3 linked regions of the Oryctolagus cuniculus genome follow. The protein of the gene in region 1 interacts with the protein of each later gene in a pairwise test. Links are inferred from orthologs where the notes say so. Each region holds a gene or a part of one and is shown in the gene's direction. Other genes may lie near its edges.

Region 1 (5,038 bases):
TGCGTTTTCAACTTTGTTTCTTCCGGGGGTGAGCTCGACTTCCGGCCTGGAAGGCTGTGCGGCGCCCTCGGGAAAACCCAGGTGCTGGCTCCCAGGGGCGGGCGCGTGCAAAGTGCCCGCTGATGGTGGCGGGGTGCACAAGGGGTGCCTCCTGCCAGAACTTTCCGGAGTGCCAGCTCAAGTCCCAGCTCCTCTACTTTATCCAGCTCTGCATGCATGCTGGGGCAGTGACCCGGACACCCAGGTCCCTGCCACCCCCTGGGAGACCCACGTGGACTTCTCCAGGCTCGTCTGGGCCCGCCAGGCCCAAACAGGCCTGCCACAGGGGCTGGCGCTGTGGCGTAGCGGGTGGGGCCGCCTCCCCATGTCAAGCTCCCTGCAGGATGGCCTGGGAGACCCGGGTGGGGTCTGGCCTGGCCCAGCGCAGCCCTCCGCACCCACCTGCCACCTACGTAAGCGGTTTCACCAAACTAAACTGGGTGCGTGTAATGTCCGTGACCTGCACCTCGAATAAAACTGGCTTAGCAGAACCCCAAATGTTTCCATTCTACTTTCTGAGATGGAAACACCGCCTTGCCCCCCCCCTCCCCGAGCGATTCTCCCTCTAAGCAATGGCGTGCTGGGGGAGGGGCTACATTCATTTAAATCTGAGGGGCGGGCTTTCAGCCTAACCGACGAGGCCCCTACATCCCGCCCTCTATGCCTGGCTCCAGCTCCAGGTCCCTACTAAACCGCAGCAGCTGGGCCCCCCACCCACGTGGGAGGCCGGGACGGAGCTCCAGGCGCCCAGCTTCTGGGCCTGGCCTTTGTGGGACATCTGGGGCGGAGACCCAGGCAGTGGGAGTGTGCTCGCTCGCGCTCTCCGCCTCTGCCCTCGGGGGTGCTAGGGAGCGGGTGGGAGGCAGGGGCGGGGGCCCGGTGCTCGGACGCGGGGAGCCCTGGAGAGCGGGAGGCGAGCTGATAGGTCATCCAGGGAACCTCCCTGTGCTCGAGTGGACCGGGCGGGAAGCCCGCCGGGGCGTGGAAAGGCGCCGGCCCGAGGACTGCGGCGGGGTGCACGCACTCAGCGCCCGGCATTAGCCTCCACTGCGTGCCTGCGTGTAGATCCGGGAGGGCTTCCCGGAGGCGGCAGCGGCCGGACGCCCGCACTGACCGCTGGGTGCCGGCCAGACAAAGGGAGGAGGGCGTTCCTGGCAGGAGGCGGGACGTGGCGAAGGCCCGGCGGCCCAGAGGGGGCTGCTGGGTCCCAGACTTGGCGCCGTTAAGGACGGGGCGCGGGTGACAGGCGTCCACGCCTGGCTCCCATCAAGCCCTCCCTGCCTCGGGGCCTCGCGCTGCGTCCGTTCCTGTCCCCGGGTGAACGGGCACAGGCTCCCCGGCTCCTGCAGGACTCCCCTCGAGCTGCCAGGACCCACCGGACGGACGATGAGCGGCAGTTCCTCTGAGCCAATCGCTGGTGCCGAAAGGCCGGCCTGGCTCGCTCCCCGTGGGCCAATTGCCGTGTTCTCCTTGAGGGCCGTGCTCGGCCAGAGCTAGCCAGAGGCCTGGTGACGTCACCTTCCGGCTTAGCCAATAGCAGCGATCAGGTGGCGGGTCAATTCGTTGATGGACAGCTCTGCTTCAAGACGTCCGCTTAGCGCGAGGACCGCCGGGAAGTTTTGAGGAGGTGCTGGGCGGACACTCCTGGTTAACTTTGTCCAATCAGTAGACGGGGTTCTTGAGATGGACAGGCAGCTTCTCCCATCCCAGTCGACTTAAGGGGGCGGGGCTGTGACCGCCAGACTGGGAGGGCCCTGGCCTTTGACGGGCGTCTTCGGCACCCAATTGCTACACGGTATTTTCAGACGGGCCGCCGCCGTTGCCAATGAAATCTCCTAGCGCGGTAGCGGTAGGCGTGTCGTCGACCCTCCGGTATAAGGCGGTCCCGGGGGAGTGAGGAGAAAGGGGGGGGTCTCGGCTGCCGGAGGAGGAGGAGGAGTAGGTGCGGGTGAAGATGGCGGCAGCCGAGGCCGCGAACTGCATCATGGAGGTGAGAGCCCGGAGCGCCGCCGGGGATGGGGGCGGCCTGGCGTCGGCGTTTTACGCTCCCGCGGTGGGGAGGGGGCTCTGAGTCGCCGAAGTGGGGCTAAAAGGGCCCCTGGCCGCGCGGAGGGAGCGGCGAATGCTCCGGATCTGAGGATATCGCTGGAGTTGGGGGGTTCCCTCGCTTTCTGGGGCCTTCGATACCCGGCTGAGCCGAGGGGCTCATCCCCCCTCCCACGTGGAGGAGGGCCGGGGGCGCTTCCGGCCGGGCCCCCACGTGGCTGCGGCGCGGTGGGTGGGGAGGGGGTGTGCCGATCCCGGTGGCCCGGCGGACTCCACGTGCGGGACAAAGGCCCCGCCCCCGCCCGGAGGAGGGGGTCCGGTGGGAGCCTCCGACCCCCTCGCAGAGCCCCTCCAGGGCTGCTCCCCGGGGACCGGGTTGCACGCGCTGGGGTGGGGTGTGCCTGCTGACCGGCCCCTCGGAAGGAGTCTTGGGGGGCGGCGCTGGTCCCCCCTGCACACGGGGCCAGGGACCTCCGCGCGGCGTGGGAGAGAGATGGAGAATTGCAGCGCCCCCCCAGCTCCTCCTCTGCCCCCGGGCTCTCCCCGGGCCGGGGCTTCGGGAGCTGGGGGATGGGTCATGCCCCTGTGACCTCCCTGTGCGGTGGGGGGGCACCTAGATGGAGATCTCCCCGATAGGGCGCCGCGCACCCCCTGGTGGCCAGTTCTCGGCGTGTGGGAGGGACCTTCTTCATGGGCGTGTCCGCAAGCCCACCTCCCCGTTGGAGCCCTCCAGGGTGGGCGGAGGGAGAGTGTTGGCCGGGAAGGCGATGGGATGAGAAATGCACCGCGCGCGGGCTGTGAGCTGTGCCCGCTGGGTTCCCGCGTGTGCGAGCGTGGGAGATGACCTTGCCCGGCCTGACGGAGGGTCCTGGTTTGCAGCGAGATTTCGGCCCTGTGCAGCCATGGGGTGAAGGTTCCAGTTTGGGTGGTTGCAAGCCCTCCCGGGACGGGGCACGCATGGGTGGTATTCGATACCGCTGGCTTGGGAGAATTTGGGGAGAGGGCCTGGAGCCAGGTGGGCCGTGGCCTGTGACTTGGCCCCTCTGAAGAGGTGTGGTGTGGCGGACTGTCACCCCTCGTAGCGTTCTCGGGATGGGGGTGCAGCACTCACTGCCCCGCGGGGCCCCCTTGACTCTCCTGGGGAGAGTGGAGGAAGTGACTTCCCGGAAGTCACGCGTGGGGGCTTCAGGGTCTGGGTGGCCGAGACGGGCCACCTGTGGGGCCGTCCTCGCGGGGCTGGCCTCCCGGCTCCTGCCCTTCCTGGTTTTGTGTGGAGCTTCCTGAAGCCACGGCGGGAGCCGGGAGCCGGGGTGCTGGCGCTGGGGGTGGCCGCGTGCCCAGCCCTCTTTCTGGAATCCTGCCCCACGGGAGGCCTTGGGGGCGCACCCCGCCGGCCCCCCTCGCTCCAGCTATTCAGGGCACCGGGGATGGGGTGTGAGGAAGCGTCACCTAATCTGGGGGGATTAGGCAAGGAGCAGGAGGGACAGCTGGCGCTGCCCGTGTGCCCGGCGGACGCCAGGTCCTCGGCCGGGGTGGGGGCAGGCCGCCATCTCTCCAGCCACAGCTGGGATAGGAGACCCCGCTTCTCCCTCCACTTCTCCCCTCCCTTTCTCACCGCCCCATCACTGACTCCCTCCTCACAGCGCCCAGCCCGGAGCAGGAAAGTGAAGGGATCCCACTCCCCAGAGACTGGCCCTCCCTGGCCTCTCCCGTAGCTAATCCTCTCTCCCTGTACTCTCTCCTAGAATTTTGTAGCCACCTTGGCTAATGGGATGAGCCTCCAGCCGCCTCTTGACGACGTAAATATCCTTTTGTGAGACCCCTCCCACCCGCACCTGCACATAAACCCATCTCCCCACACGGCCGGCCCCCCACCCGCACCTCCACATCAGTCTGTCTCGCTCTGAGACCCGCCCCCACCTGCAGCTCCACACAAGTCTCTCGCCACACGGCTGGCCCCTCCCACAGGCCTCACGGTGGTCCCTGTGGCTTCAAACCAGCTTCCCCAGAAGCCCCCGCCACACTTAGTGCCAACCCCTCCAGGGTCACGGCCCCTGCTGGCCCCGGTTCCGTGGCTGCTTCCTTAACTCCATCTCCAACCCCCTGGCCCTTCCCCGCGTCTGCCCCAGTCCTGCCTTCCCTTCCCCTCCCCTCCCCAGCTGTGGGCTGAGCTAGAGACGGGGGCAGAGAGACTGGAGAGATGGTAGGCGGGCCTGCGGCATCGGGCGCTCCCCTGGACGGTGCTCTGGGGGGTCCTGGACGTGGCGAACGGGGATCGTAGGTTGTGGGGGCTGCGGGGACTCCAGGGCCGTCACGGCTATGATTCGGGGGTCTCGGTAACACTCCTGAGGGAAAGGCGGGGAGGCGGAGCCCCTGGATCTAACCGTGCCCCGTCCCCTCCCTGCCAGGTGTCCTGCGGCCAGGCCGAAGGCAGCGAGAAGCCCAACGCCGAGGACATGACGTCCAAAGACTACTACTTTGACTCCTACGCCCACTTCGGCATCCACGAGGTGAGTGCGGCCCTGAGGCCTGTGCGTGCGTAGGAATATTTGCATATCTTCATGTTATCGGAAGCGGCTGGTTCCCTCACCCCAGTGCCTGCAGGAGCTAGGGTTGGCGCAGCCAGGAGCCAGGGCCGCCCACGTGAGCACCTGTTAGGGGCTGCCTGGGGAGAGGAGGCGTGGGGTCTGGAACTCGGGCACCCTGGATGCGATCCGGGCCGCCCAGGGTTAGGCCTGTGAGGTCTGGGTGGGTTAAGGGTTGAGGATGGATGGAGCTGAATTTCCCAAGCAAGCGCACTGCCTCCCTGGCAGCCAGCCCACCTCGGCCCCTCTACTGCGCCTGCGCAGCTGGTACTCCTGGGTCAGCTCGGCCCAGCCGTTGCCTTGGAGACCAAGCCTGGTGCTCTGTAGGACCCGAGCCTGGGTGGGCGCGCGCGCATGCGTGCCTGAGC
Region 2 (4,938 bases), on another chromosome or scaffold:
AAAAAAGGGGGCTCCATTCCAAGAGAGTGGCACATGCCAAGTCTCCAAGGCAAGAAAGAACTCAGTATATTAATGTAACTGAGAGAAATGTGTTGTTAAGAGGTAAAATAAGAGTAGAATCACATGAGGTAAAAAGGCAGAGTTTTTGTGGACCATGTAAAGAGATTGGATTTTATTCCAGAGATTATGAGAAAGGCATTCAAAGGTCTTAAGCAGGGAATAACATCTGTTTCATGTTTGCAGAATGTTATTCTGCTGCTATGTGGATAAAGGTTTGGAGAGAGAATCAAGAATAGAAGCTGATAAATTAGTTGAGGCTGTTGGTAGTTCAGATAGAAGACTGGACAAAGATATTAGCCGTGGAAAGCAAAAGAAATGAGTTGGGAACTGGATAGAGATGAAGCAAAGGAAGAAATCAAGAATACCTCATCAATTTTTGGCTTGAGAGCCAAGTAGATGGCACTGTTTACTAGATTGGAAGATACTAGGAAAGACAGATTTGGGGCATGGTGGTGTGATTTGGCTTGTGGTGTTGGAAGTGTCATAAGGGGACATGGTAAGCAAACACATCTGGCGTTTATAATGATATACATAGTATCTAAAAGCACACCTGAATGATATTATCTGGAAAATACACATGAAGCGATAAGGCAAAGGACTGATATCAGCGGGACGCCAGTAGTTAGTGACCACCTTCATTTCTAGTGAAAATAGTAATTTTTAAGTTAGGTTTAATTTAAGATTTTTGTAACTGATTTGTTATTAAAAGTTAGTTCTCTTGGGTTTATATTAAATTTGTTTTTAGGGTCTTAAAATAATATTTAAATTATGAGGCTAAGTTATATCAAATATTGTAAAATATTGTAGAACTTTAAATATACCAGTGATTAGACCTGTTACATATGGCTGTACCGTTAGGCCCCTAAAATTAGAGGGGAATGTAAAATACTGTGCCACACTGTATCAAATTATGCTGATCTAATTGTCTACTAGGTAACAAGTGACTCATTTTGAGGTTTCTTCGATTAATTTTTGTCGGCAAATGGGTTTAGGTCTGCCTGATCGTTAGGTGTGTGGTGGATGCTTTTGGCTTATATATCTGGCTGTTGGTTTAACAGAGGGTTTGGTGGACGTTATTCTCTATCATCAACCCGATGACAAAAAGAAGAATCGGGGGTTCTGCTTCCTTGAATATGAGGATCACAAGTCTGCAGCACAAGCCAGACGTCGGCTAATGAGTGGAAAAGTAAAAGTATGGGGAAATGTAGTTACAGTTGAATGGGCTGACCCTGTGGAAGAACCAGATCCAGAAGTCATGGCTAAGGTAAATGCAATTACTTGGGGTGGGGGTAGGGATATCATTTCAATTTTGTACTAATAATAAAGCTCAAATATTTTGAGTTTTCTGATTAAATACAAATTGTAGCTATTATCTTTTAGCTGTTTAGTCACGAACTGATTTAACACTGAGGCTACAGACTGTCTTGGTGTCCTGTAATAATTTCCATTAATCATCCCTTTTCCTGCAGATTAAATGTGTAAGAGGAAATGAAATAAAATCCCTTCAATTGAAAGTATTTCATACCACTATTTTCTGTATCCCACATAGTGTTATGCACACATAAGGATACAGACTTTTAAGATGAGGTCTTGTTGAGTAAAGAGAGAAGTAATGTTTTGGAGTTTATAAACTAAAGTCTTTACTGACTGTACTGCAACTTTTATTATGTGGCTTTGAATTCTTTTATTTAGATTTATAGCTAATTTTTCTTTCAATTTCCCTTAGAGTATTGAGCCCCATGAAGAAAGGCAAAGGATTGTTGTGTTTGCTATTAATTGATAGTGGCAAAATATACATGACAATTCCTGCTGTCAGTTTCTTCCTACCTCCTATGCTTGTGTTGCCAGGATTTTACCTGTCAAATGGTGGTGCCGCGAATCCTGGTTTTTATGTTTTCTTTTGGATGACTTCTAGGGTTCAAGGGACACATCGGTTGAATCTGCTGTTTGTGTTGGGTTCTTGACTCTTTCAGTTACGTCTCCTCTCTCCTTAGGGAGGCATCAACTCTGATGGCTGTGATAACTGATTGGATTCTTCTTGACTGAGAATTCCTTTCCTTAAGCTTTTTATTCTAGGTTTTGAGGAGGCAAGTTGTCACTAGTTTGGAGATGGACTCCGGTTTATACTAGTATGATATAGTCTTTGTAGGCAAAAACAGCTTTGAATTATGCAGAAAAAAATCCATTGAGAATGAACCAGAGAGGCTCTCAGAAGTGCCATTCAAATGTATCTTTTATCATATTGTTTGAGTAGATGAGCGACTAGGAAAGGAGGTGAGAATATATCCCTAATTTTTTTTTTATTTCTGGTTTTTATTAGCTTAATTCCAGCTGTTTCTTCTCCTAATATAATTATGGCTTGGGACAATCTACTCAACTTAGATTTTGTTTATTTTATTGGGGTTAGATAAATATGTTATGATCCACTACAACTTTGAATCTATCTGTAGAAACTAAATGTAGCCTATTTGTTTTTTCTACTTGAGAAAATCTAAAAATAGCAATTTAGATGTATTATAAAATCTGGAAACCTAAAATATAGCTAATAATTTGCTTATCAAAACTTTTTACATGCTGCTGGTAACCTTTCATATAGTTTTATCTTAAATCATTTTTAGGGTTAGAAAATCTCAAAATTTTATTCTGCTGTTTGTTTGCTCATTAAAACTTCCACTTTTCACTCTTAGCAGTGTTCATTGAAGAATCTTTTGCCAATTTGGGTTAGTTTTATAATCATTAAGAACTTCAGGGGCCCAGTCTTTGGGCCCCCTGCACCGCATGGGAGACCCAGAAGAAGCTCCTGGCTCTTGGCTTCAGATCGGCCCAGCTCCAGCCGTTGTGGCCATTTGGGTAGTGAACCAGTGGGTGGAAAACCTCTCTCTCTCTGTGTTTGCCTCTCTGTAACTCTGCCTTTCAAATAAATAAATAAATCTTTAAAAAAAAATGGTTGCATCAGGCATTAAAATCGAAAAAACAAAAGAAAGAACCTAAGAGCCTAAAGAGACTTTTCCTGTATTTTTTTTTTAAAGATTTATTTATTTATTTGGAAGGCAAAGATACAGAGACCTGGACTTAAGCGGACTTGGGCCATCTTCTGCTGCTTTCCCAGGCCATGGCAGAGAACTGGATCCGAAGTGGAGCAGCCAGGACTTGAACCATTGCCCATATGCGATGCCAGCACTGCAGGCAGTGGCTTTACCTGCTACGCCACTGCACTGGCCCCTTCTGTTAAATATTTTAAACAATTCTATCAAGTAACTTTTAGATGGTAGGTTGTGGTTTCTTCACAGAAAAGAATAAAAGATCGATGTTGTTGTTTGAGGTGAAAAATCAGTGTTGGGGAGATTGATATTTAGACTAGACCTCCCTCAGTTTGACAGTGTTGAGAAAAAGGGGAGGGAGTAGAGGTGAAAAGTATCAGTCCTCACCCTCTTTGAATTAATACTCTCCCTAAATTCTTTTTATTCATATAGCCCTTTGAGGCAACAGTGTGTTCAGTAGCTATATTAATTTTTTGTTTGAGTAAGTAATATATGTGCTTACTTAAAAAATCATAAATTATATAGAAATATATAGACAATGGAGTTCCCACTTCTCCTGTCCTTAATTCTTCCATGGATGGTTGTTGGTAACTCACTATATTCACTTTTTTTAAAAAGATTTATTTATTTATTTATTTGAAAGTCAGTTACAGAGAGAGAGGGAGAGATAGAAATCTTTCATTTGCTGGTTCACTCCCCAAATGTCCGCAGTGGCTGGAGCTGGGCCTGTCCAAAACTAGGAGCCTGGAGTTCTGGATCTCCTTCTTGGATGCAGGGCCCCTAGGACTTGGACCATCCTCAGCTGCTTTCCCAGTCACATTAGCAAGGAGCTGGATTGGGAGTGGGATGTTGACACTGCAAGTGGTGGCTTAACCTACTGTGCCACGTGCCAGCCCATATTCACACATCTCTATTTGCTTTGTTATTCTGTTTCTCCGCCAAGTGGGAACCCTGTAGAAGCTCCTGCCTTCAGCCTGGTCCAGCTCCAGCCATTGTAGCCATCTGGGAAGTGAACCAGCAGAGGGAAGATTCATTCTGTCTCTCTTTCTCTTTTTCTCTGTGTGTATGTGTCTTCCTCTCTCTGTAACTCTTTCAAATAAATGCATAAATAAATAAATATTTTTAAAAAGTATAAAGTGTTGCCAATAGTGTGGCACAAAGCTTGCTTACCATATTGACTGTAAATTTTTACTCCCATTTCAGAGATACAAAAATGGGGGGAAATGTGTCTTACCGATAGTGTATCCTAGCAATCTCTATATCAGCCCATAGAGCTCATCCTAGTTACTGTGGCTGCATAATATTCCATTCTGTGGGTGTGCCGTAGCACATGCATACTTGCTGGATGTTTCTGTCCCCCCATTTTTTTTTGTTAACAATACTGTAATGAATGAACTTGTACCACATCAGATGATAGAAGTACAAATGTATCTGTAAGATGGATTGTAGGCTGAAGCTAAATGGATCTGTAATTATTAAGATATTACCATATTCTTCTCTGTAGGGGATGTACTGGTATATTCTATCACCAGCACAATATAAGAGGACTGTTTTCCTCATCCTTGACAAAATAGTGTGAGATCACACTTCTGGATTTTGCTGGTCTGATAATATGGTATCTCAATGCTGTTACGACTTGTATTTCTTACTATGTATGAGCTTGAGCTTTTAATGTATTTGGAGGACCATGTGTTTCTTTGTATTAAACCATGGATTCATGAATTTGCTTATTTTTCATTTGTTGGGATTTTTCTTATTTTCTGATGCTTTAATAGAAAAGATTATCTCTGTGATATGTCATTTTCCTTTTGACATTACTTATGGTATTTTTTGCCAT
Region 3 (5,038 bases), on another chromosome or scaffold:
CCGGTTGCTCCTCTTCCAGTACAGCTCTCTGCTGTGGCCCGGGAAGGCAGTGGAGGATGGCCCAAGTGCCTGGGCCCTGCACCCGCATGGGAGACCAGGAGGAAGCACCTGGCTCCTGGCTTCGGATCGGCACAGCGCCAGCCGTAGTGGCCATTTGGGGGGTGAACCAACGTAAGGAAGACCTTTCTCTCTGTCTCTAACTCTACCTGTCAAATAAAAAACATTTTTTTAAATAAAAAAGTCTTTCTTGCGATTTTGACTCTTTGTTAAAAATATTTATCGTTACAATTATGAAAAACGAATTTATCAAGCAGCACAAAGATTGTGCAAATTTTTGCATTACGAATTTTTAATAAGCTAGAAGATTGTGTTCATGGTGCATCGCTGAAATAGACCACGTGTCTTTTGACTTCAGCCAGGTAAGAGACCCAGGCAACTTCACGGCTGTGAATTATTATAAGATGGAGAAAGTCCATTGTGAAGGGGAAGGAAGAGGGAGAACCTCTACCGCAGGCGCTCGCTCTGGGAGCCCAATTTTGGGAAAGCTGAGGATCTGAAACTTAAATCCTCTTTGTCAAGACCCAGTGGTCTTGGCGAGTTTTGTTGCTCAATTTGAAGGCTGTAGGCCTGGACGACTGGCGAGAAGTGACAGGGATTCTCAAAGGAAGCGTCAGGGATGCAAGGCCGCGGGCCTGAGGCAGGAGGCCACCACCCGCGCGTGGGCTTCGCGCTGTCCCCGCAAGCGCGCCTCGGGACGCGGCCCGGCCTCCCCCACGCGAGGCGTCTCCTCCGGCTCCTTCCTCACTCTGTCCTCGGCTCTCCCTGAGGAGCAGGAGACCACCGCGTCTCCCCGCACGCGCGGGGGCCATCGCCCAGCTGCTCCCCCCAGCCCCCGGACCCCACGACAGAGCCTCGAGGGGCCGATGCCGCCGCAGCGTCCAGGCCCCACTCGGAGAACAGCGCAGCGCCGCTCGGGTCCCGCCGGCTTGGACGCTGATTAGTTCTGAGGCGGAGCTCGGAAAGCCAGTCAACAACAACGTAGCGATAGTAATACCACCACCACCACCTTCAGGGAGCGCGGTGCTCGTTTGTACGCATGCGTCGACATTTCCCGGCCGGGGACGTAGCACCTGGAAGTGGAAGCGGCGGCCGGGCAGCGGCGAGGGGCGCAAAGCCCATTAAGCGGTGGAAACCGGTACCTGGGAGATAGGAAAGCAGGACCGGAAGCCTCACTAATTGCCCAGCGGAAGGAAAAGGTTTTATTTCCCCGTTTAGACACGCCTGCCCTTTCCTGAAGCCATGCACAGCCTTGGCGACCCCAGTTCTTCAGCCAGCCTATTCCACTGCCCCCCTCCCACCCCTGGGAAAGGTGGCTCAGTGGTCTCGGCACGCGACTAGCTGGCGGTTGGGCTCGAGGCAGGAAGTTTCTGATTGGCGGAGTCCCAGAAGCACCAGGTGAAAATAGCTCCGCCGGCTGAGGGCCCAAGTCACTGCAGAGCTGGGGCCGTACAACAAAATGGCGGCCCCCAGCAACTTCGGGACGCCCTGAAGGGGCAGGCCCCGCCCCCTACAGGTCAGGGGGAAGGGAGTCGCGGGCTAGGTGGGCGGTACTAGGCACGCTCGGTGGGGCCTTCCGGAAGCAGGAAGGCTGGGCTCCGTACGACAATATGGCCGCGCTTATACGCGTGTAGGCGGAAACTCCGCGGCTTCCGGTCTGTAGTGGGGCCTGCGGTGGGAGGGGGAAGGAAGGCGGAGGGAACCATGCGAGGTTCTGAGATCAGCGGCGAGGGTCGTCTCGTGAGACCGTTTCTGAGGTGCGGGCCGGACTGTGTGGGGAGCGAAAACGGGGGAGGGGATATCGAGGAGGCGGTACTGGGGAGACGCGGGCTCTGAGTCTGAGAGGCATGCTCTGGTACCTTATTCCTGAAGGGAAGTGGGGCGGCTAGGGGTCTGACCTGGGGGAGGGGGACTTGGCGGGAAGCTCATCTACCCTGCCGGCGCGACTCAAGGGTGGGATCCGAGAAGAATCGGGAGAGCCCACTGTAGGTCTCACGATCGGTTACAAGTCACAGAGAGCGACCAGGTAAAATCAGGGTGGGGTGAGAGGGAGGGCTCTTGAGGTGTCATACTCCAACCCAGTGCCCTGGTTTGAAGAAGCCCATCAGAGGGTGAAATACGGAGTTAATAGCAGGAGGGGAAAGGAGAATGGATCGTTGAGAGGACTGTTGGATTGTCTAGGAGTTGGGGTGATCATTAAGGGTGGGGTATGGGTTTGACATGTTTCGGGGTGAAAGGGGCCAGACGTGAGGCAGCCAGAGCGAGTGTGTTTTCCGTGTGTGAGGGTGTCATGGGAATCTGGGAAGCGGGACTGGGGTTGGAAGAACCAACTTGACAACTATGAGAAATAGTGGGGAGATGGAACAGAAAGACCGGAAGCCAATGTGAGAGGTAGAGCTGGGTGTGGCGATTGAATGTTTGCGGTTCCCTGTCCTGGGCCACTTGAAGGGCCCGGGAAGGCATCCAGAGCTAATGGTTGCAGAAGACAGGCAGTGAGGACACTGTTGGGCAGGGCTGGGTGTTGCTGAAACCCACGGAGATTGGAAACTGAGCTGAAGGGAGGGGCTATGCTGGAGGGGCTCTTTCTGAGGCCCCATCCCCTTCCAGCAGGAATTCTGAAACCCCCAACACTTCCTCCCTCCGGGGGATTTGATCCCTCATGGCCACCGCTAACAGCATCATTGTGCTGGATGATGATGACGAAGATGAAGCAGTCGCTCAGCCAGGGCCCTCCCACCCACCCCCCACTCCGGCCTCACCCCAGGCAGAAGCCCCTGGCTCCTCTGAGCCCCATGGGGCCGGAGGAAGCAGTAGTTCTGGCGGCAAGAAATGCTACAAGTTGGAGAATGAGAAGCTGTTTGAAGAGGTGAGCTTTAGGGGAGAAGATTCTTATACCCCAGGGAGGGGGATGGCGCACTGGCTCTCTGGTCCTCTCTCCCCCACTAACTGCACCCCCCCTTCTCTCTCTCAACCCCCTCCCTTGTCTCTTGTCCGCTCTCTTCTTCCCCCGAACCCTCCAGTTCCTTGAACTGTGTAAGACGCAGACAGCGGACCACCCTGAGGTGGTCCCGTTCCTCTCCAGTCGGCAGCAGCGTGCCCACTCTGTGTTTTTGGCCTCAGCCGAGTTCTGCAACATCCTCTCTCGGGTCCTGTCCCGGGCCCGGAGCCGGCCCGCCAAGCTCTACGTCTACATCAACGAGCTCTGCACCGTTCTCAAGGCCCACTCAGCCAAGAAGAAGCTGAACTTCGCTCCTGCTGCCACCGCCTCCAGTGAGCCCTCTGGGAGTAATACTTCTGCAGACCCGGCCTCGGAGCCCGGCAATGCTGAGGCCGCTGTCTCCGAGGCCCCAAGGACCCGTGGCTCCCGCCGGCAGATCCAGCGCCTAGAGCAGCTGCTGGCACTGTACGTGGCGGAGATCCGGAGGCTGCAGGAGAAGGAGCTGGATCTGTCAGAACTGGATGACCCAGACTCCACGTACCTGCAGGAGTCGCGCTTGAAGCGGAAGCTGATCCGCCTCTTTGGGCGACTGTGCGAGCTGAAAGACTGCTCTTCGCTGACCGGCCGGGTCATAGAGCAGCGCATCCCCTACCGCGGCACCCGCTACCCAGAGGTCAACAGGCGCATCGAGCGGCTCATCAACAAGCCAGGCCCCGACACCTTCCCCGACTACGGTGATGTGCTGCGGGCCGTAGAGAAGGCAGCTGTCCGGCACAGCCTCGGCCTCCCGCGCCAGCAGCTCCAGCTCATGGCCCAGGACGCCTTCCGAGATGTGGGCGTCAGGCTACAGGAGCGACGCCATCTCGACCTCATCTACAACTTCGGCTGCCACCTCACGGATGACTACAGGCCAGGTAGCGGGTTAGCGGGGTGCCCGTCGGAGGCAGAGGGGACCGCTCGCCCTCTCTGCCAGGGTGTGGGCTGAGTGCTCTGCTGTCATATCTTCCCATGTAGGCATTGACCCTGCACTGTCAGATCCTGCCTTGGCCCGGCGCCTTCGGGAAAACCGGACCTTGGCCTTGAGCCGCCTAGACGAGGTCATCTCCAAATACGCAATGATGCAAGACAGAAGTGAGGAAGGCGAGAGACAGAAGAGAAGAGCCCGCCTCCCCCAAGGCACCTCTTCCCAGCCTGCAGATTCCCCCACAGCCTCCTTGGATTCTGGTGAGGTGTGGAAGGGACAGCAGCCTTCAGAGAGACCTTGTCCTCCCCCTGCGCTGGCCGCTAGGGGTTCCAGGGTGATGGATGGGGGGGTACAGAGGGAATGCAAGAACCAAACCCCCTGAGGCCAGGGATTCCTTAGAGAAACTCCTTTGTCCTCCAGGGTCCCAGTGGAATGGCTTCCCAGGAGTGCCCTACTACCTCCAAAGCTGAGACAGATGATGAAGAAGATGAGGAAAGTGAGGAGGAGGAGGAAGAGGAGGAGGAGGAAGAGGAGGCCACAGATTCCGAAGAGGAGGAGGATCTGGAGCAGATGCAGGAAGGTCAGGGGGAAGATGAAGAGGAGGAGGAGGAGGAGGAGGAGGGAACAGGTATGTAAGCAGCGTGTCGCCCCGCTGTCAGTGCCTCCTGCGCGCGAGCCGCCCGTGGGAGACCTGGCCCTCGCCCAGCGGCGCTGTCTCCCGTTCTCACAGCAGCCGTCCCCTCTCCTTTTCCAGGTGAGGCTGGAGACAGGAGTCCCGGGCCTCCACCACAGGTCTCCACTGAAAAGAATCCGGAACCCGGCCGAGAGCTCGGCAGGTCTCCCAGGGAGCAGCACAACACAGGACTCAAAGCGCTAGCACCCTCACTGTTGGAAGAGCCCGCGGCCCGCCCCAGCGTGGGTGTGGAAAGGAACGGGGAGCAGCTTGCGGAGGTGCCCCCGGAGGAAGAGAGCCCCGTGTCTCAGCTCTTTGAGCTGGAGATTGAAGCCCTGCCCCTGGATACCACGTCTTCCCCTGAGGAGACGGACGTTTCCTCTTCCAGGAGGCACGCGGAGGAGCC

What was found.
Region 2: the proteins of PRMT1 (region 1) and HNRNPR interact in binary tests that used the Homo sapiens proteins (3 or more experiments, as listed by UniProt). The link is inferred for Oryctolagus cuniculus from reciprocal best matches to the Homo sapiens genes PRMT1 and HNRNPR.
Region 3: the proteins of PRMT1 (region 1) and DAXX interact in a two-hybrid assay, tested with the Homo sapiens proteins (2 studies listed by BioGRID and IntAct). The link is inferred for Oryctolagus cuniculus from reciprocal best matches to the Homo sapiens genes PRMT1 and DAXX.

The regions. Positions count from the first base shown.
Region 1 is NC_091449.1:7,829,127-7,834,164, reverse strand, and holds the start of PRMT1 (protein arginine N-methyltransferase 1), read left to right. Parts: upstream 1-1,914; 5' UTR 1,915-1,993; coding exon 1,994-2,029; intron 2,030-2,820; exon of another isoform or gene 2,821-2,992; intron 2,993-3,830; coding exon 3,831-3,884; exon of another isoform or gene 3,885-3,888; intron 3,889-4,185; exon of another isoform or gene 4,186-4,285; coding exon of another isoform or gene 4,286-4,288; intron 4,289-4,493; coding exon 4,494-4,595; intron 4,596-5,038. UniProt on the Homo sapiens protein: Arginine methyltransferase that methylates (mono and asymmetric dimethylation) the guanidino nitrogens of arginyl residues present in proteins such as ESR1, histone H2, H3 and H4, FMR1, ILF3, HNRNPA1, HNRNPD, NFATC2IP, SUPT5H, TAF15, EWS, HABP4, SERBP1, RBM15, FOXO1, CHTOP, MAP3K5/ASK1, MICU1 and NPRL2.
Region 2 is NC_091438.1:147,602,496-147,607,433, forward strand, and holds part of HNRNPR (heterogeneous nuclear ribonucleoprotein R), read left to right. Parts: intron 1-1,108; coding exon 1,109-1,324; intron 1,325-4,938. UniProt on the Homo sapiens protein: Component of ribonucleosomes, which are complexes of at least 20 other different heterogeneous nuclear ribonucleoproteins (hnRNP). hnRNP play an important role in processing of precursor mRNA in the nucleus.
Region 3 is NC_091436.1:135,803,042-135,808,079, forward strand, and holds the start of DAXX (death domain-associated protein 6), read left to right. Parts: upstream 1-1,316; 5' UTR 1,317-1,455; exon of another isoform or gene 1,456-1,573; intron 1,574-1,680; exon of another isoform or gene 1,681-1,814; intron 1,815-1,946; exon of another isoform or gene 1,947-2,083; intron 2,084-2,664; 5' UTR 2,665-2,716; coding exon 2,717-2,923; intron 2,924-3,077; coding exon 3,078-3,909; intron 3,910-4,009; coding exon 4,010-4,224; intron 4,225-4,379; coding exon 4,380-4,587; intron 4,588-4,713; coding exon 4,714-5,038. UniProt on the Homo sapiens protein: Transcription corepressor known to repress transcriptional potential of several sumoylated transcription factors. Down-regulates basal and activated transcription.